Oryctolagus cuniculus: one gene and its partners. The protein of the gene in region 1 binds, or shares a complex with, the protein of each later gene. Links are inferred from orthologs where the notes say so. Each region holds a gene or a part of one and is shown in the gene's direction. Other genes may lie near its edges. The genes, in order: NDUFAF1, TMEM186, TMEM126B, ECSIT and ACAD9.

Region 1 (4,279 bases):
TATAGAAACAGTTCAGGCTATCCCAAGACACTGAGGCCAAAAGTTACTTTTAATGTTCCCTGCACGATCTCCAAGTAAGAAAGAATTCTGGAATGCTGCATGAAAAATGCCAAGAGTCCCGGGCCACAGTCCCTCCACGCCGTCCTACATAGTTCTCCGATTCTTCCCTCCTCCCAAGAGTGTCTTCTTCGCTCTGACATCCCAGCAGGGACCCACTGCAACCACAAACGACCCTAGCCCTCAGACTCATGCCCACACTAAGTCTTCCTTGCCAAGCACGACAGAAGCTCCCCGGAACGTTTACGAGTGTCCCTCCTCTGCCCACACCCGTTGTCTGAAAAACTTCATCTTCAGAGTCTGCACCTTCTCGGCCCTCTCCCCCGCACCGCCCCACGGTCACCACTGCACCTCCTCCAAAACCTTCCAGCCTACCCGGGGTTGGCGGGAGATACTTCCTATCTCCCGGGCCCCGAGCGCCTGGCCTATAGCCCGTCGTCCCGATGCGGCCCCGAAAGATCGAGGCCCCTTTTCGGTACCCCAGAGCCCCGAGGCCCCCTTCGGAACCCCTGAGCCCGAGGCCCATCATCTCCGTCCCTGCCCCGCCTCCCCGCCCAAGGCGCCAAGTCCTCGGGGCTCTGTCTCCAGGCCTGGGCCGGACTCTGAGGGCCTCGGACGCTGCGGGGAACACAGGAAAGGGGGCTGCACCGCGGTCAGGGAACGGAGCAGACCGGACGCTCAGGCCAGGAGGCTCCGGGCCCGGTCGGCTCCCGGATCCCGTGGCCCCGACTCAGCCCTCCGGCTCTGCCGGCCCGCGCCTTCGCGGCCTGCCCCCACCTGATCCAGGTTCTCGTCGCTGCCGCTATCCTCTGTGTCCGAGTCGATCACGACACGGCCTTTCCGCTTCTTTACCATGGTGGTCCCCCGGCTCCCACGCCGGACGCCGCCCGGACTCCCCTCTTGCCCGCCTGCCAGTGGGACCGCCACTGCCGCCGCCGCCGCCGCCGCTCGACCCACACAAAGGCGACCGCGCATGCGCGCTCCGCTCCGCCCCTGGCCCCGCCCCCCGCCCGGCGCAAGCCGTTCGCCAGAGCCCGGCGCCCCGCCCCATCCCGCCCCCTACGCAGCGTGGAAGGCGGGGCCGCGCGACCGGTTGAGTTCCGGGCAGAGGGTTGCGGTTGCATGCTGTCGCCGTCCGGGAAGTACAGGTTGTTCCTGTGCTGCTGGGCCGAAGCTAGGTGGGCTTCTTTGCTGTCCTGGCTGAAGTCGAAAGGACCCGAATCCTCTCGGAAGAGTCTCATGCGTCTGCAGCCTTTCGACTGTCTGAGACTGATGGAGTGTGGAGGGCTACTTAAGGGGCCGCCCCTTGGAAAACAGCTTTATGGCCGAGGGCACCGCTTGGGGGATGGAGCCTGCCTACCTGAGCAGTGCAAGTGACGGCAGAGGAGAATGTACCTGAGTGGAGGAAGGGTGTACCAAGCAGAGAGCATCGTGGGCAAAGACCTAGCAATAATAATAAAGTTGGGTTCAGGGTACTGGAAGTTCATTGTAGCTGGAGCAGACTGTGTGGGGATGATGAGAGAGATGAGGCAAGGATGGGATGCCGCGGCCACATCATTCAGAGCCTATTTAGCTATATTAGGGAGTGTGAACTTTAGTATTGAGATTTAACCTGAAGAACGACATAAGTTTTGAAAAGATGACTGGCTGCAGCGTGACTAATGGGTTAGAAGGCAGAGAGACTATGGGCAAGGAGACCAATTGGGCTGTTGGTGTCTTCTTAGCCTGAGATTATGGTATCTGTAACTAAGGAAACAGCAGTGGGAATGGAGAGGAGAGGATGGATTCTGGGTCATTTGGAAGGCAGACCCTGCAGGTTTTGGACCTTAGTTGAGGGAGGAGTAAGGAAGGAGAGGCCTCAGACATGGGTGATGTTCAGATCCTCATTTAGAGCCATTCATCAAGATAAAAAAAAAATACCTCAGAAGAAGGTTTGAGGGGCTGGTGTTTGTAGGAAATAAGTTCGGTTCTATACTTGAGTTTGAGATCATCTGATAAAGTCTGCTCCAAAAGTGATTTCTTTGCGGGCTGTGGAATATAGAGAGCATAAGAAATAGTATTTTGCAATTGGTCTCAGATCTCTTTTTTGAGTCCATCAATTCATTTATTCTGGTAGTGAACTTGGAATGAGGCCCCATCCCCCTAGAGTTGTTGAGTCCTTACTATGTCTCTCTTTTTCTCCTTTTGCTCGATGGGCGGTCCTCTGATTTAGGGTAATTTGACTTACAATTTTTCTGCTTTATGTTGATGAGAAAGCAATTCCGTAGAAACCATACTTGGGATTTTGAGTCTTGATCATTTCCAGGGCCAGTGATGTGTGGTTTGGTACTCTCACGGTGCTGGGAAGTGGCAGGGAACCCCTATTCCTGGTAAGCCACAGGATCATGAGGGTGAACAACTAATATCCTCTGGTCTACTGTGTTGCTAGGCTGTGATGCTCAGTGGTTAGTTGTACTAAACCTACTTCATTTTTAAAAAAGATTTATTCACTTATTTGAGAGCTAGAGTTAGAGAGGGAGAGACAGAAGAAAGGTCTTCCATCTGCTGGTTTACTCCCCAAATAGCTGCATGGCTGGAGCTGGGCTGATCTGAATCCAGGAACCAGAAGCTTCTTCCAGGTTTCCCATGCTAGTGAGGGACCCAAGCACTTGGGCCATCTTCTGCTTTCCCAGGCCATAAGCAGAGAGCTGGATTGGAAGAGGAGCAGCTGGGACAGGAACTGGCGCCCATATGGGATGCCAGCACCACAGGTGGCAGCTTAGTCCACTATGCCGTAGCACTGGTCCACTAGGATATTTTCCATTTATGATGGGAATTTAGCCCCATCATAAGTCAAAGAGTATCTGTATAAATTTTATTTTTTCTGCCAAGTTACAATACATATCACAAATGTGCATGCTTTAAAATAATAATTAAAAAAAAGTCAATATAGGCGGTGCCGGCACCCTGGGTTCTAGTCCCGGTTGCTCCCTCCTCTTCCAGTCCAGCTCTCTGCTGTGGCCCGGGAGTGCAGTGGAGGATGGCCCAAGTGCTTGGGCCCTGCACCCACATGGGAGACCAGGAGGAAGCGCCTGGCTCCTGGCTTCGGATGGGCTCAGCGTGCTGGCGGTAGCAGCCATTTGAGGGGTGAACCAACGGAAGGAAGACCTTTCACTCTGTCTCTCTCTCTCTCTCACTGTCTAACTCTGCCTGTCAAAAAAAAAAAATGACATTGTACAGAGCAAAAAAGTCAATATAGAAAAAATCCCTGGGACTAAACACTTAACCCGGATGTCCAGTTTGCTGCTATTTACTTGAAAAGGGGTGATCATCAAGATTATGGTAGAAAAAAAAAACCTAAATAAAGGCCAGCTAACTGTGTACTCCAGAATAGCTTTCCAACACCTAGACTGCTCTAGCCCAACATATTGGAACTGAGCCAAGATGACCCAAGATGACCAGGCCAGCCCTCCTATTTCTAGCCACCCTGAAGCTGGAGCGCTTTTGTGATGACCCTCTTTAAATGTGTTACATCAAAGAAAGTCATAACGACCCTGGACTGGAATTAAGAAAGGTATGTTTCTTTTTTTAAAGATTTTTATTTATTTAAGAGTTATGGGGCAGTAAGGTGGGGGCAGGGAGGATGGGAAGGTCTTCCATGCACTGGTTCGCTCTCCAAATGGCCACAACAGCCAGGGCTGAGTCAAGAGCTTCATCTGGGTTTCCCATGTGAGTGCAGGGGCCCAAACACTTAGGTCGTCTTCCACTGCTTTCCTAGGTGCATCAGCAGGGAGCTAGATCAGAAGTGGAGCAGCCAGGACTTGAACTGGTGTCCATATGGGATGCCAGTGCTAGCTTTACCCACTATGCCACGGTGGTGTCTCCAAAAGTTATGTTATTTTAGTGAAATCTCTGATTCTGATTTTTTTGTGTGTGCAGTGTCCCTCCCTCCCCCCAAAAGGCATAGAAAAGAGATTTGCCATTTGCTAGTTCACTCCCCAAATACCCACAACAGCTGAGGCCGGGCCAGGCCTAAGGAAAAAGCACATAACTCAATCTGGTCTCCCACCAATGGCAGGGACAAAAGTACTTGAGCCATCATTTGCTGTCTCCCAGAGTGTACATTAGCAGAAAACTGGATTGGAAGCAGGGTAGCTCAAACCAAACACTCCAATATGGGCTGCCACATCCCAAGCAGAGAGTTAACTGCTGCATCAAATGCTTGCCCCCTGCCCTCGGTCCT
Region 2 (4,229 bases), on another chromosome or scaffold:
AGTCTGTACAAGGGAGAGCCTCGCCACGAAGCTGATCGTAGCTGAAACGTACGCGCGCCCGCAGCAGGCAGATCTGAGCGCGGGGGGCACGCTTCCAAGGGTGCAGAGACTCACCAGGCTGCCTGTGACGACCTAGGACGTCCCCCCGACCCCGACCCCGACCCCGGCAGGGGCTGCACAGGGCGGGTGGAGACGGCCCGTGCTTACGGAGGCCTACTGCGAGCAGACACCTTGCATTTGGTCCTATTCGGATGACACGTAACAAGCACTGTCCCCGCTTCCGGCTGGGGCTAACTGGCCCAAGCTGAGGCTCCGCTAGGTCCTCTGGACTAGGAAATCTACACTTTCTTTCTTTAAGATTTATCTATTTGAGGGCAGAGTTGCAGACAGAGAGAGGTCGAGATAGAGAGAGGGGGTCTTCCACCCAAGGGCTCACTCCCTAAATGGCCGCAAGGGCCGCGGCTGCGCTGATCCGAAGCCAGGAGCTTCTTCCGGGTCTCCCACATGGGTGCAGGGGCCCAAGGACCGGGCCCGTCCACTGCAGCTTTCCCAGGCCATCAGCAGGGAGCCGGATCCGAAGTGGAGCAGGTGGGACTCAACCCGGCGCCCATATGGGATGCCGGCGCCGCAGGCACACGGATGTTTAACTAGTAACAGCCGCAGCGCCGGCCCGAACCCTGCGCTTTCAGCATCTCGCTCCAAGGTCCAGCCACGCGCGACGGGACGGGGAAGGTCACACAGCTGCTGAGGGGGCCTCGGCTGGGGTTCAGGGCTCGCGGCCAGAGAACGGGCTGCTTGTTCTAACCCAAGTTTCCCGACCCCGCCCTCCCTCTCCGAGCACCCCGGGATCTTGACGAGCTGCTTCAGGCCCGTCTCCCGCCGCTGGGGCACCCAGACCAAGGGCAGCCCCTGGAGGCGGGAGGCGGTCCTCAGTTGCACCCAGGCACCCAAGCTGGACGGTCGTTCGTCCCGTCTAGGAGCAGAAAGTGCTCCGTGCCGGCTGCCGCCAGCCCTCTGCGCGCCGCCTACCTGCCGCGGGGCGGTCAGGGTCCCGTCCACGTCGAAGAGGCAAAGCGCTGGTCCCGGAGCTGCCATGGCCCCCGTTTCCGTCCACACCTGAGACGACTCGTTGGCACCCGGACCTCGACCCGGAACTTCCGGGTTCGGCCCTCTTCGCCGCAGAGCACGTCGGGAAGAGACTCCCACAGCCTCCCACAATGCCCGGGGCTAGCGTCGGCCACGGACGCTACACCACAACTCCCAGCATGCAACGCGCGTAGTCCGAGCATGCGCCCTTAGAGTTTCCGGCGGCGGTGAGGTTGTATCCGGCGCCAGGGAGCAGGGCCATGGTAAGGAGGAGGGTGATGGGCTGCGTCGGGGTCGGAGCCAGTGTTGGGGCAAACAGGCAGGAATCCTGAGCTTCTGGTTTGTTGGGTCCTGGGGCGATTGCCCCGATGTGGGTTACGATGTGCTCCTCCACGGCTTGCTGTGGTCTTGCGGGGTCACGTGGGCCAGCAGCGGTGCTAGCGAGCCTCGCGGGGGTGCTCAGGGTGGGCCCCGAGCAGTCGGCGCTGCTTATCCGTGCGCTCCCCATCCATGGATTCACTCAGCTGCCGAGACAGCTGCGTCTGTGCGGAACGCCTACGGGCTCTTGCTACTCCCAAAGGAATCCCCCATAACCACTCTTTACGCCGCGTTTCCATCGTAGTAGTGGTATAAGGTATCACACAAACACTGTGCCATTTTGCATAAGAGACGTGAGCCCTCTGGTTTGGGTGTCTTGTCGTGCATCCCGGAACCAAGCCCCTGCCGGTGCTGATGCACAGTGGTGCTGCGTTTACGGCGTAAAAACCGTTGTCTCGTTCAGTGTGTTCTGAGTGCCCGTTGGTAAAGCCTAACGAACTCACGCAGGTGGAAGCCGAGTTCTGAGAGGAAACGGTCTCTTGTCTCCCTTCCAGGCTGCCCTCCTCCGAGCTGTGCCCAGGTGGCGGGGGCCGGCCGCCTGGGGAAAGCCCCTCTGCGGGCTGTGGTCCTGCGGTGGGCGAGAGGATCCCAAGAGGTGGGTGCGGAGCAGGTCTCCCGGTTCCGAGGAGAAAGCCCCGGGCACAGAGACCGAGAAGTTCCAGATGGTCTACCGTTTCGATGCCATCAGAGCGTTTGGGTACATATCTCGGCTGAAGGTGGCGCAGACGGCCCTGACGCTGGTGGCTCTGCCGCCCGGCTTCTACTGGTACTCCCAGGGCCTCATGCCGCTCGACTCGCTGTGCCTGGTGGGTGGCATAGCTGGCTTCGCCCTGGCCATGCTGTGCTGGATGAGCCATTTCTTCCGCAGGCTCGTAGGCATCCTGTATGTGAACGAGTCGGGCACCGTGCTGCGGGTGGCTCACCTCACCTTCTGGGGCTGGCGACAGGACACGTACTGCCCCGTGGCGGACGTGGTCCCCCTGACGGAGACGAGGGACCGGCCCCACGAGGTGTTTGTGCGCATCCAGCAGTACAGCGGGAAGCAGACCTTCTACCTACCTCTGCGCTACGGGCGCGTCCTGGACAGAGAGCGCTTCACACAGGTGTTTGGGAGACTGGACTCGCTCAAGTGATCAGCTGGGCCTCTGGGAAGCCCTGGGCCCCTTGGGTCACTAACCAAGAAGGCTGAGGGTGTAGACGAGGCCGAAGGAGGGAATCGGGCCCCTAGAGACTGTCAGAACCCTGGGAGTTTGTCTTTTCGGAAGAACACAGAAATTCGGACCCAGGTTTACGGGAAGGCGCCCGAGTGCGGATTCTTCCTGCACTTGCGCGTGCTGTTCTTGCAGATAATGGCCAGGAGGTTCTGTTCGGATCCAGTTCTTGGAGGAAGCTATGCCACGGTCACCCGGACAGTTCACGGGTATTTGGAAGACAGATGTGGGAGGAGCACAGGGTTTGGGGTGCTGTCAGCTCGCTGTTCTGGGCAGCTGACGGAGTCTGTGTGAGCCTTGGTTTCTCACGTCTGTCAAACGGAAAGTTCTTTCTGTCTCGTGGGCTGGATGTCAGAACACACAGTAAACATGCAAGGCCGTAGCCCTGGGCGACTGGGAAGCGTCTGCTCAGAGGTGGTGGTCGGGGCTTTCAGGCAGCGCGCGGGAGCCCTGTGTTCTGCCTCTCCATGCACCCCTTAGCAGAAGAGTGGGACGAAGCGTGGCGGGGGCATTGCACCCTCCCAGGATGGTAACTGCACCCCGAGTGAGGCGCGACGCCCCAGCTGAGATGTTCCGCACCCACAGGCCGAGGCCGTCCCGCTGCGTCATGGAGCCAGATGGGTGTGTGTAGTGCTCTACCTCTGCGTGTTGCCTCCCGTGATCGGTGTGTGTGTCGGCCACGTAGCTTGTAGCAGGGTAAAGGTCTTCGTGATTTTGCCACGCATAAGTCAATAAATTTCGTATCACCTCTGTTTTCATTGTCATGTACTCATCACAAATGTATCGTTGTAACCATGTTAAGTGTACAGTTCAGGGACAGTAAGTACATTTGCAGTGTGGTGTAACCACCCCCACAGTTCACCCCCAGAAGTTTTTCACCATCCCAGGGCCTCTGTACCCACAGAGCAGCACTCGCTCTCCCGTTGGCAGCCACTAATCCCCTTCTGCCTTAGAATCTGCCTGTCTGGACATGGCATGGCCTGGAATCACACAGTATGTGCCCTTTCGTGACTGGCTTCGTTGGCTTGGTGTGATGTTTTCAACGTGTGGGTAGCGTGTAGTGGCATGTAATTCTTCCTTATAGCTGGACGGTATTGTTCCGTGTACTGCCACGTTTGTCTCTGTTCATGTGCTGGGGGACGTTGGGATTATTTTCACCTTTGGGTGCATCCCAAGATGTGGGACTCCTAGGTCCTCTGGTAATTCTGTGTTTAACCATTGGAGGACCTGCCAGACTTTTTACAGTGGCTATGCCGGGTTACATTCCCATTGCAATGTCCAGAGGTTCTCTCCCCTCCCTGCCTCCCCCCTCCCCTTCCCTTTTTTAAAGATTTATTATTTATTTGAGAGGCAGAGTTACAGAGAGAAGGAGAGACAAGATCTCCCACTCACTGGTTCACACTCCAAATGGCCACAATGACCAGCTCTGTCAGGAGCTTCTTCCGGGTGAGGGGCCCAAGGACTTGGGCCGTCCTCTGCTGCTTTCCCAGGGGCATTAGCAGGGAGCCAGATCAGAAGTGGAGCAGCCAGCACTGGAACCAGCGCCCAATGGGA
Region 3 (3,176 bases), on another chromosome or scaffold:
CTGGTGCCCATATGGGATGCTAGCACCGCAGGCAGCAGCTTTACCTGCTTCCCCACAGTGTCGGCCCCCACACTGTTTTATGTAATCCACATGACAGTTCTGATCAAGCAGAGCAAGTAGTATTGTCTCCTTTTTATAGATAGGCAGTCAAACTGAAGCAAGTTCAAGGACACTAAAAAATAAAAGTGTTACTGGAGAAAGAATAAACACATATGACCTCAGATTCTACTTCCTACTACATAAGTTTTGTGATATCGAGCAAGTCATTTAATCTGTGAACCTTAGTTGTGTTACCTCTGAATTAACCCTAATTGTACTTATCTCATAGAATTGCTGTGAGAATTAAAAGATACTGTACTGGGGCCGGTGCTGTGGCATAGCAGGTAAAGCTGCCACCTGCAGTGCTGGCATCCCATATGGGTGCTGGTTCAAGTCCCACTGTCCCACTTCTGATCCAGCTCTCTGCTATGGCCTGGGAAAGCAGTAGAAGATGGCTCAAGTCCTTGGACCCTTGCACCTGCGTGGGAGACCTGGAGGCAGCTCCTGGCTCTTGGCTTTGGATAGGCACAGCTCCAGCCATTGTGACCAATTGGGGAGTGAACCAGCGGATGGAAGACTCTCTCTCTCTCTCTCTCTCTCTCTGCCTCTCTGCCTGTCCTCTCTCTCTAACTCCAACTTTCAAATAAATAAATAAATCTTTAAAAAAAGATATTCTGGCTGGCACCGCGGCTCAATAGGCTAATCCTCTGCCTGCGGCGCCGGCACCCCGAGTTCTAGTCCCGGTCGGGGCGCTGGATTCTGTCCCGGTTGCTCCTCTTCCAGTCCAGCTCTCTGCTGTGGCCCGGGAGTGCAGTGGAGGATGGCCCAAGCGCTTGGGCCCTGCACCTGCAAGGGAGACCAGGAAAAACACCCGGCTCCTGGCTTCGGATCAGCACGGTGTGCAGGCGGCAGCACACCAGCCGCAGCGGCCATTGCGGGGTGAACCAACGGAAAAAGGAAGACCTTTCTCCCTGTCTCTCTCTCTCTCACTGTGCACTCTGCATGTCAAAAAATAAAAAATAAAAAAAAATTCTATGTTAAATGATATCTGTGTTAAATAGTATCTGTCACAAGTTTCACAGTAATTGCTGGAGCCTCTAGCCCCTGTTCATTCTTCAGGTCCCTGCTTAAATGTCTTCTGCAGAGAAACTTTCCCTGATTCCCTTAGTGTAAGTTAGGTTTCTAGATACATTCTCTAAACACTTTACTGTAAAATCCTTGTGTGCACTTAAATATCTGTCTGATTCTTTCTTCTGTGGTAGACCTGCCAGAGGTAAGAAATTGGATTGTCTTTGCACCATGGTATCCCTAGCACGTGCCTTTCATGTAGGAGACGATAAATGTATTAACTTGGATTTGGTCTGCTAGTTTAGTACTCAGATTCTTATGAAAATCCTTCTTCAACAACCATAAATGTAAGGGGTAATTCTCCAAATGATGAAGCACAATAAAAGCACTTTTAAAATGTGATTCATTTAGCTGGTTACATGCCATAGACTTTGAATTTCTAATATACTCTGTACTGTTTCACTGTGGTTGAAAATATTGTACATAACTTCTCTATGAGTCACCACACTATCTTCAAGGTTCTTATCCTGAGTTTTTTAAAGATAAACCAAATTTACTTTTGTTTTTCAGGTAACATAAGCAAGGAAAACTGTGTCCTTAGAAGTTCACTGGTTGGCATAGTATGTGGTATTTTATATCCCTCTAGTTTGGCTTTTTCTAAAAATGGACGCCTGGCAGTCAGGTAAGTCTGTTTGTTCCTTTTCTTCTTTCTATCAAAATGTATTAGTTCCGTGTTCCAAATAACTAATTTTGGGGTTTTTTTCTTTCTTGCATTTTTTTTCTTTTTTTTTTTTTTGCTATCTACCTTATAGACCTGTAGTGGAAATTATCAGTTTAGGTGAAATCAGTAAACTTGATAGAAGATATATTCAGGAGACGTGATTAACTCTTTTTCTTTTTCAGATATCATACAGTTCCACTGCCACCGAAAGGAAGGGTTTTACTCCATTGGATGCTGCTTTGTCAAACAGAGATAAAAGCAATGGTGATTCCTCTAGTCTTTCAGACAATGTTTGGAGTACTTATTGGTTTACAGCATTATTCACTGTTTGAAAAAACACTTGCAAAAACGGTACATGAAGATTAATCAAAGAATGGGTACTGATTCAGCAAAATGGTTTTTTTTTTATGATGAGTACTTGGATATTGTGGAAAAAATTGAAAGTCACTCTGGACAGAGAACTTGTCTCTGTTTCGCCTGCTATATTGCAGATACTTAATAAATATTCAGTAATTCAGTAAATGTAAAACAGTGTGAAATAATAATTTTCATCTTTCTTTCCTCATTAAATGCACAAAGCAGTTGGAGCCTCAGGTCTGATCTATGTAGTTATAAATTAATTCCTCAGGCCCTGTGTCACTTATTAATAAGAACTATTCCTTACCCAGAAGGAACTCTCAATTATAAGAAAAATAAACAGGTACACATAAAAGGTTTTATGAACTACACACATAATTTGTGGGAGCACTGAGAATGTGACTATCACTTAAGTAAAAAGGGAAGTTATGGGGAGAAAGTGCCAGTTGAGCCAAATTCTGAAGGAGAAATTGGAAGTTCATATGAAAGCAAGGTATGGAAATAACATACAACCCATTTCTCTCCAGGGTTGGAGAACATCTGGCCCTTGAGCTGTTTAACACCTGTAAAGTCAATAGGCCTGGACCTACCAAGGTAACCATCAGTAGGACTCAAAATTCAGTAACTCTATAGCTGGCTATTTTATTTATTTGAAAGAGTTACAAAAAGAGGTAGAAACAGAGAATGGTCTTCCATCTGATGGTTCACTTCCCAAATGGCTGCAACAGCTGGAGCTGAGCTGATCCAGAGCTAAGAGCCAGGAGCTGCTTCTGGTTCTCCCACCTGGCTACAGGAGCTCAAGGACTTGAGCTATCCTCTGCTACTTTCCCAGATGCATTAACAGGAAGCTGGATTGGAAGTGGAATAGCTGGGACTTGAACCTCCGCCCATATGGGATCCTGGCACTGCAGGCCAGGGCTTTGACCTGCTGTGCCACAGTGCCAGTCCTGTAGCTGGCTAATTTTTAACTTGATAACGGTATTGCCTATGA
Region 4 (3,850 bases), on another chromosome or scaffold:
TTGGTACCCAGAATATAAAAGAATTCTTGTGTTTTTTTTTTTTTTTTAAACATGTATTTATTTATTCAAAAGGCAGAGTTACCGAGAGGTCTTCCATCTGCTGGTTCACTCCCCAAATGGCAGTAAAGGCCAAGACTGGGCCAGGCCAAAACCAGGAGCCAGGAGCTTCCTGCAGGTGTCTCGCGTGGGTGCAGGGGCCCAAGCACTCAGGCCATCTTCTGCTGCTTTCCCAGGCGCATTAGCAGGGAGCTGGATTGGAAGCGGAGCAGCCAGGATTCGAACCAGTGCCCATATGGGATGCCAGCATTGCAAGCGGCGGCTTAACCCGCTATGCCACAACACCAGACCTAAAAGAACTCTTAAAAAAGATAACTATCCCAGTTTTTTAAATGGACAAGGACTGAAGTAGACATTTCTCCTTCACACCGGTCAGTGAGTGCATGGAAGGACGCCCAGTCCATTCATTGGGAAAATACAAATCCAGAACACGAGGAGCCGCGTCCGGCCGAGCAGTGAGGAGGACGCGGGGAAGCGGAGCCCGTGCGCCTCCTGGGAGGATTCTGGGCGCGTGTCACAGCCAGGCCGGAGTCCTGCCGTTCCACAGACGGTAGCGGTTCAGGGAGCCTGTGTCCTCCCGTCCGTCTCGGGAAAAGCAGGGTCTCGTGTTCGCACCGAAGCTCACACACGGACGTCCACGGACGTGCCAGCGGTACCCCCACTGCCTGCCAAGTGAGGAGGGGTAAGGGAAACGCGGTCACCAAGCGATGGCATCCCTCGAGCAGTTCAGAGGCACAAGGGCACCGTGGCCGTGGTTCAGAGGCCCCTGCGACACCAGCATCCCTTCCAGGGGCGCCGGTTCGAGTCCTGCCTGTTCCTCTCGCGACCCGGCTTGTGAACACGCCTGGGAAGACAGCAGAAGGCGGCCTGCATAGCTGGGGCCCCGCCACCAGCTGGGATATGGCTTCCTGGCTTCAGTTTTAGCCTGGCCTGGCCCTGGTCGTTGCAGGTATTTGAAGTCAGCCCGTGGATGGAAGATAGCTCCCGCTGTCTCTCTCTTGCTCTTCCTGTCAAATAATCATTTGTTTAAATCTTCCTTTCAAATAAACACTTTTTAAAAAATCACAAAGATCTTTGTTGGTTGTATAACACCGACCACACGTGGCTCAGTAGATGAATCCTCCGCCTGCGGCGCCGGCATCCTATGTGGGCACTAGTTTGAGTCCCAGCTGCTCCTCTTCTGGTCCAGCTCTCTGCTGTGGCCCAGGAAGGCAGTGGAGGATGGACCAAGTGCTTGGGCCCCTGCACCTGCGAGGGAAACCAGGAAGAAGCACCTGGCTCCTGGCTTCGGATCAGCACAGCTCCAGTCATTGCAGCCATTTCGGAGTGAACCAACGGACAGAAGACCTCTCTCTCTCTCTGCCTCTCCACTCACTGTCTGTAGCTCTACCTCGCAAATGAGTAAATAAAATCTTAAAAAAGAAAAAAGCCCCACAATTTTATTTGTTCTTTAAAGGGTGAGCTATATAGTATATGAATAAAACTTTTAAAAAGGGGCCGGCACTGTGGCACGGCAGGCTAAGCCGTGGTCTGCAGCACCAGCCTCCCATCTGGGTGCTGGTTCAGGTCCCAGCTGCTCCACTTCCGATCCAGCTCTCTGCTGTGGCCTGGGAAAGCAGTGGAAGATGGGGCAAGTGCTTGGGCCCCTGCACCTGCGTGGGAGACCCGGCGGAAGCTCCTGGCTCCTGGCTCCGGATCGGCCCAGCTCTGGTCGTTGCTTCTATTAGGGGAGTGAACCAGCTGATGGAAGACCTCTCTCCCTAACTCTGCCTTTCAAATAAGTAAATAAATAAATCTTTAAAAAGAAGAATGACATAGGGAGAGGGAGCAAGTTCCTGAAGTTATTGAAGGGTTTGGCCCAGCAGCCCCCCCACCCCACCCCCCCCCCCCCACCCCGCCATGGATTGCAAGGTCGCCTTCGTCTGCCTTGTGGGTGAGCAATCCTTGGGGCTGGAGGAAGTGGTGAGGGGACCCGGGTTTGGCCACAGGGCCTGGGACGAGCCCTCGCACGCAGGGTCCCGTCTGCCCACCAGGCTGATGCTGTCTCTTGTTTCTCGACCAGGTCCTGTTAGGAGCAGAGGCATGAGCTGGGCCCAAGCCGCCCTGCTGGCCCGAGGCCTCTCCAGGGGCTGGGGAGGCCTGTGCGGGGCCGCCCTCAGGGGAGCCCCCTTCTCACAGGTAACCACCAGCCGGGCGTCTGGGGAGCGGAAGGAGCAAGGCCTGGCTCGGCTGGTCTGCATCTCCCGCGGGGGTGGCGGGCACCCGGGTACTTGGGCCGTCATCCCTGCTGCCTCCCAGAGTGCGCATGCGCAGGGCGCTGGCCTCACGCAGAGCTGCATCTGGAACCCAGGCTCCAACGGGGGACGCGGGCAGCGTATCTCATACTGAGGGCCCGGTGTGGGTCCAGCTTCCTACGAAGGGGCAGCCCGGGAGGTACCTGATGGAGTTCTTGGATCCCAGCGTCGCTCTGGCTGACCGCCCCGGGCTGCTTACAGGCAAACACAGGCGCCCCGAGCTCTCCGGGGTGTGCACACAGCCCCCGGCCAGGTCCGCGGCCCCAGCGCCGCCCCTTCCTTGCCTTTGGAAGATGTCCGTGGTGGGAGCCCACTGCAGTGGACCCCTTTGTAGCAGAGCTGCGTGGCCCAGATGTGCTTACAGCTGTCAGGGACGCGTGTGCGCTTATCTCCAGATGGCCGCCCCGGCATTGCCCTCCCCCAGCCCCACGCCAGCCCCCTTGGGTTGCTAACCACAGCACCGGCCTTCCGGGATATGCCTGCCACCAACTCCCCTGCGGAAGCAGGCCTGCCAGGCTCCAACCCGCGTCCCTTCCCCAGGTCGCGGCCCTGGCCCTGCGGGGCCTCCACCGCAGCGCGGCGGCCTGCAGCTCCGACCTGTCGCTGGTCCCCAGCCCACCCGAGTCCCAACGCAGGCCCGTCAAGGTCCTGGAGCCCCACGAGGAGCTGTTCAAGCAGGCGCCGGGCGGGGAGCGCGACAAGGCCAGCTTCGTGCGGGCGGTGCAGTGCTTCGGGCAGCAGGACGTGCGCAGGCGCGGCCACGTGGACTTCATCTACCTGGCGCTGCGCAAGATGCGGGAGTTCGGCGTGCAGCGGGACCTGGCCGTCTACAACCTGCTGCTGGACGTCTTCCCCAAGGAGGTCTTCCGGCCGCGCAACGTCTTCCAGCGCATGTTCGTACACTACCCGCGGCAGCAGGAGTGCGGCGTCGCCGTGCTGGAGCAGATGGAGCAGCACGGTGAGGCGGCCGCCCCTGCCTCCCGGGGCCAGGTTCCCTGCCCGGGGTCTGCGCGCGGACCCCACAGCTCGCTCCCTGCCCGGGGTCTGCGCGCGGACCCCACAGCTCGCTCCCTGCCCGGGGACTGCCCGCGGACCCCACAGCTCGCTCCCTGCCCGGGGTCTGCGCGCGGACCCCACAGCTCCCTCCCTGCCCCAGCCCCGGCTCCCTGCCCGGGGTCTGCGCGCGGACCCCACAGCTCTCTCCCTGCCCGGGGTCTGCGCGCGGACCCCACAGCTCCCTCCCTTCCCCGGCGCAGGGGTGATGCCCGACACGCAGACGGAGTTCCTGCTCACGCAGATTTTCGGGCGTAGGAGCTACCCCATGCTGAAGCTGGTGCGCATGAAGCTGTGGCTCACCCGCTTCAAGAACGTCAACCCCTTCCCCGTGCCCCTCCACCTGCCCCCCGACCCCGTGGACCTGGCCAAGCTGGGCTTGCGGCACATGGAGCCCGACCTCAGCGCCAGGGTCACCGTCTACCAGGTAGGCGCTCTGCCCCGCG
Region 5 (4,557 bases), on another chromosome or scaffold:
GAAGCTCCTAGCTCCTGACTGGTAGCTTTGGGATCTGCAGGGGAGAAGGCCCACACTTCCAGGAATGGAGAGTCCGTACCCCCACTTCCAGGAATGAAAAGTCCTTGCCAAGGTCCCTGCAGGCACCTAAAGGTCAACCAATGAGGATCAGGCCCGCCTCAACCTTTAACCCCCACACCCTGTACCTGTGTAAGGAGCCCTCCCAACCTCTGACACCTGACTTCCCCGGCCCCGCCCTGTTGGGCTGGGAACCTCGCCCAGGAGTGGAATCCCAATGAAAGCCTGTAAACTGATTGATCTGGCTGGGAAGATTTGTTTCGCGCTGGACACCTTGCACTGGCTTTAGGTTAGCCCAGCCCTGGCCATTGTGGATGGAACCAGCAGATGGAAGATATCTTTCTCTTCCTCTCTGCTTGTTTCTCCTTCTCTGTTAACTCTTTCAAATAAATAAAGCTTATTTTAAAAAAATATGGTCAGAGATCTTATAGATGGTTTTGGGATTGAGAAGTGTTTTTCATTCTTGTGCTGATCTTTGCCCTTCTTTGATTGACCAGCAATATCAGGTTCTTTCGGGAATTTTGATGATGGCAAAATACGCTCCAGTTAGGGGGGCTTGTAGCAGACGGGCCGGTATTTTTTACTCAGGGCTTGGGACTCCCAAAAAAACCCTTGAAGACCAAGATCTTGGTCTTGAAGACCAAGATCCAGCAAGATGTCAGCTGGAAAAGAGGTCAATGAACTCACAAATCTTGTGATGTGGGACCCTGTGGGGCAGCAAGACTCAATGTCCCATTCCCTCAATTAAGTGAATTTAAGAAGCAGTTGATTTGCAATCACATTGAGGCCGGGGAAGTGAGTTCTAATTTTTATTCCAGGCCCTGGAGAAGCAGTCTAACTACAGGCACATATGCAGCGCACAAAGTGGCAAACAAAGCTTTAAAAGGGAGAATGCAAACACGCACGCGGGTGGGCAGGGTGAGCAGAAGGGTCCTCGAGGAGAAAAGGGTGGGAGAGGGGAAGTAGAGAGGGTTGGCTTCAGACCCTGCTCCCGGCCCGCTCTGCACGGAGAGACGGCTCGGTTCTGGGGTCCTGGGCTGACTGTCCTGGGTCAGCAGAACAAGTAACCCTTAGGGCTACGGGAGAAGTCGGAGTGTGGGAGACTAAAGCGTGGTAGCAGGCAGCATCGACAGCCAGGCACGGCAGAGGGGCTCAGCGTCACATCCCCGTGAGCTACAAAGGAAGACAAAAGGGTCCCGGCGATTCCACCCTCCACTTAAAAGCAAGAAGCATGCCCCATGCTGTGAGCTCCCTGCAGAGGTAACCAACACCGTGCATTGCTTTGCATTGCCTCATTGACGGGGGCAAATGGGAGCACTTAGATTCCCGTTCGCCTGGGAAGCATAGTCCTAGGGCCTGCACTTTTGCAAACGACCGGCAGCCACCGTAAGCCTGAGCCTGAACCCAACAAAACTGCACGGACCCCGCCTAGCCACCCTCGCTCTCCAGGGGCGGCTGGCGGCGCAAGCGCAGTGGGTGCGGCGGCGCCGGCCAATGGCGTCATCAGGAGGCGCGGCCCGGGTGCCCTTGGCTGAGGCGCGGCGCTCGAGCCTGCACTTTCAGCGCCCGGAGCGGACGCCGGCAGCATGAGCGGCTGCGGGCTAATCCTGCGCACGGCGGCGGCCGCGCGAGTCTGTCGGGCTCTGGTGGCCTTCACGGAGAGCCGGCGCCCGCTGCGCACCAGCCCGCGGAGCGCGACTTTCGCCAAGGAGCTCTTCCTGGGCAAGATCGAGAAGGTAAGGCGAGCCCCGGGCCGACCGCTGCTCGCCGGTCACGGCAGGGCCGGAGCCCGCAAACGTGCCCGGCCAGATGTTCCCGAGGGGCGGTCCGTGCCGCAACCCCGGGATCCGAACCCGCCGGAGCCTTCCCAGGGGCCGGGGCCGGGTCCCCGGGCGGAGTGGCTTTGACAAGTCCCCGCGAGTTCTTCCAGGGAGTCTTGGGAGAGCCCTGGGGAGAGGTCGCCGAGCCACGCTCACCCGGGCTTTGCCGGCCCCCAAATGTGCGGGTTTTGCTTGTGGTACCTGAATCCCGCTCTGCCCAGGGCGCTCCTGGCACCTGTGGGGCCCCCCGGGGTTTCCCTCTGCGGCTGAGCCCTAGCCCCTCGCCCTGCCATTCAAGTTCTTCCTGAATCTGGCTCCGAGGTGCCCTCCGCCCCCTCCCTTCCGAGGATTGCACCACGCCCACAGCAACAATGTGGCTGCTGAACACCATCCTCTTTTGAAGACTGAGATTTGATCTTATCTCTGTGACTTTGAGCCTTGTCTCATTCGGCCTTAAAATGGAGCTGGTGGGTGTGTGTACCTCACAGATGTGTTGTAGAGCCCCTGTAGGGTTGATAGTGCATGGAAATTCTTCAGCTACAAGGGGCTCATTCATTCATTCATTCATTGATGCGTCTGCTGGTTCACTCCCCAAAATGCCTGTAATGGCCAAAGCTCATTCTCGGTCTCCCACATGGGTGACAGGAACCCAGTTGTTGGAGTTGTCACTGCTGCCTCCCAGATCTGTATCTGACCACCTTTAGGCTCAAGCACAGCTCCTCCTCTGGGTCAGGCCTCCCTCAGCATTTCTGGGTCTTTAGTAGGAACAGGGCAGCGACTATTAGCCTTTTAGAATAGAAAGAGAACCCCAGGTTATTGAGGCTGGTGAGCATCATTCTGCCCTTAGTTGGGGCAAAATTATAGGAAGGAGTGCCCCAGGGGCTCCTGCAGGGTTGAACGGGAGGCTGAGTCAGTGAGATTTGGGCCTCTCTTCTTATGAGCAGCCTCAATCAAGTTGCCTGGCTTTGATCTGTCTTACGTGACTTCTGCCCTAGATTTATGGGAATAACAGGTCTCCCTGCTTTACAAGTTTGAAAACTGTCCATTGCAACTGAGTTCCCCTCCCGTGAGGCACACCTGTCAGTTTTTGACCATTGTTGTCCAAGAACTCTTTCTCCCTGGCACCCGGGGCATCTCCCTGTAGCAGTTACCCTTTGGTTGTGGTCCAAGGCCACCAAGTTACCAGGCTGTCTCTATTCTGTCACGTGGCCTGCCCACCGATGTCAGTGATCATCCCCCTATCTCCTCCCATAGCCATTGCCCAGCTGACCAACAAGGCTAGGGAAGGGAGTGTGAGGGGGCAGTCGCCTCTGTTGGGCAGAGACAGCTTTGTCTCCAGAGGCTTGAGAGTGGTGACAGGTGTACCTGCCTTTCCTTCCAGACCCCCTTAGTAGAGGGTTGTGACAGAGAGGCAGGACACCGCTAAGTCTGCTGTCGCTTTTGGATAGGGTAGCCCCAATAAGCCTGCAGTCCTGGGGCCAGAGAGCTGAGGACAGATTGGGGAGCACGGTGCTGGAGTAGACAAGTCAGGTGGTCAATGAGATGTGCAGAGGCTGGGAACAAGGATGAGGACTTCTGTGACAACCTTCCTGAAGCTCCAGTGCCATGAGGACAGGCAGGGCTCCTGGGGCCTGGCAGCTTATAATAGGCACCCCCAAGTCCACTTCCTGGTGCCATGCTGGCTGCCGAAGGGTTAGTTGGAGTCCCAAGGCCAGAGGGGCTTTTGATACTGTGGAATGCTCTCCAGGGCCAGCAGGAGGGAATCCTGGGCTAGTCAGGGATTGGAAAGAGACTGGCAGCTAAGTCACTTTCCAGGTCACCAGGTGGGACAACAGTGGAGCCAGAAGCTGAGAACACTTACTTTATGTCCTGGGGCACGTGACCACAGTCACCTTCTGAGATAAAGAGAATCATCTGTGGGAGAGAACCGGACGGAGAGGGATGATGCAAGCTGCCCAGTCACCTGCGAGGAGTGGCTGTGCCAGGGTGAAGTTCAGGGCGATGTGGATCCACAGCTGGGCTTTGCTCTCTGATCCCACAGCACAGGGAGTGGCTGCAGCGACTGAGGGCCAGAGGCTCCGTGGTCAGATCTGGCAGCCACGCCGTGCTCCTGTCAGCAGCACCATTTTTAACTCAAAGTAACTGATGTAGGATTCTCTCCATTTTAGAAAAGACCTTTCTCATTCCGCCTTCCAGGATTCTCACAAGGAACTTGAGTCAACAGGAGCTTGGTGAGGTGAAGGGAGGTGGCTGCGGCCGCAGTTGGCAAGTGGCAAATCCAGGACCAGACTCAAGTCCTGGACTTCCTGTTCTATGGGACAGTCCTCATCACTTGTTATGGATAAGGAAAGTGGTGTGTGGGGAGGAAGATGGCCCTGGGACAGCCTGCATCTTAAGCGCTTGGTGTAGTCTTTATAACTGCAGTGAGTTGTGTCCTGCTGGCCAGATGAGGAATCTAGGATGCCCTTTTCTTTCCCCTTTCACCAATATTACTGCAGTAGGGGCTGCTAGGTATTAAATTTTCAGAGACTGGTGTTGTGGCACAGTGGGTTAGGCTGCCATCTGTGATGCTGACATCCCATTTAGGCGCCAGGCTGAATGGCTGCTTCATTTCTGATCCAGCTCCCTGCTGATGTGCCTGGGAAAGCGCTGGAAGACGGTCCAAGTGCTTGGGCCCCTG

The links.
Region 2: NDUFAF1 (region 1) and TMEM186 share a complex: the UniProt entries of both Homo sapiens proteins name them as parts of the mitochondrial complex. The link is inferred for Oryctolagus cuniculus from reciprocal best matches to the Homo sapiens genes NDUFAF1 and TMEM186.
Region 3: NDUFAF1 (region 1) and TMEM126B share a complex: the UniProt entries of both Homo sapiens proteins name them as parts of the mitochondrial complex. The link is inferred for Oryctolagus cuniculus from reciprocal best matches to the Homo sapiens genes NDUFAF1 and TMEM126B.
Region 4: NDUFAF1 (region 1) and ECSIT share a complex: the UniProt entries of both Homo sapiens proteins name them as parts of the mitochondrial complex. The link is inferred for Oryctolagus cuniculus from reciprocal best matches to the Homo sapiens genes NDUFAF1 and ECSIT.
Region 5: NDUFAF1 (region 1) and ACAD9 share a complex: the UniProt entries of both Homo sapiens proteins name them as parts of the mitochondrial complex. The link is inferred for Oryctolagus cuniculus from reciprocal best matches to the Homo sapiens genes NDUFAF1 and ACAD9.

Annotation. Positions count from the first base shown.
Region 1 is NC_091443.1:64,520,381-64,524,659, reverse strand, and holds the start of NDUFAF1 (complex I intermediate-associated protein 30, mitochondrial), read left to right. Parts: upstream 1-1,149; 5' UTR 1,150-1,235; intron 1,236-3,547; exon of another isoform or gene 3,548-3,610; intron 3,611-4,279. Other genes in the region: RNA polymerase-associated protein RTF1 homolog, read right to left, coding at 835-1,032. UniProt on the Homo sapiens protein: As part of the MCIA complex, involved in the assembly of the mitochondrial complex I.
Region 2 is NC_091450.1:27,396,051-27,400,279, forward strand, and holds TMEM186 (transmembrane protein 186), read left to right. Parts: upstream 1-1,224; 5' UTR 1,225-1,346; coding exon 1,347-1,349; intron 1,350-1,958; coding exon 1,959-2,597; 3' UTR 2,598-3,426; downstream 3,427-4,229. Other genes in the region: PMM2 (phosphomannomutase 2), read right to left, coding at 1,030-1,095. UniProt on the Homo sapiens protein: As part of the MCIA complex, required for efficient assembly of the mitochondrial complex I.
Region 3 is NC_091432.1:76,714,069-76,717,244, forward strand, and holds the end of TMEM126B (complex I assembly factor TMEM126B, mitochondrial), read left to right. Parts: intron 1-1,677; coding exon 1,678-1,789; intron 1,790-2,010; coding exon 2,011-2,194; 3' UTR 2,195-2,357; downstream 2,358-3,176. UniProt on the Homo sapiens protein: As part of the MCIA complex, involved in the assembly of the mitochondrial complex I. Participates in constructing the membrane arm of complex I.
Region 4 is NC_091447.1:66,367,647-66,371,496, forward strand, and holds part of ECSIT (evolutionarily conserved signaling intermediate in Toll pathway, mitochondrial), read left to right. Parts: intron 1-2,119; 5' UTR 2,120-2,139; coding exon 2,140-2,235; intron 2,236-2,891; coding exon 2,892-3,309; intron 3,310-3,607; coding exon 3,608-3,831; intron 3,832-3,850.
Region 5 is NC_091441.1:111,793,754-111,798,310, reverse strand, and holds the start of ACAD9 (complex I assembly factor ACAD9, mitochondrial), read left to right. Parts: upstream 1-1,557; 5' UTR 1,558-1,643; coding exon 1,644-1,793; intron 1,794-4,557. UniProt on the Homo sapiens protein: As part of the MCIA complex, primarily participates in the assembly of the mitochondrial complex I and therefore plays a role in oxidative phosphorylation.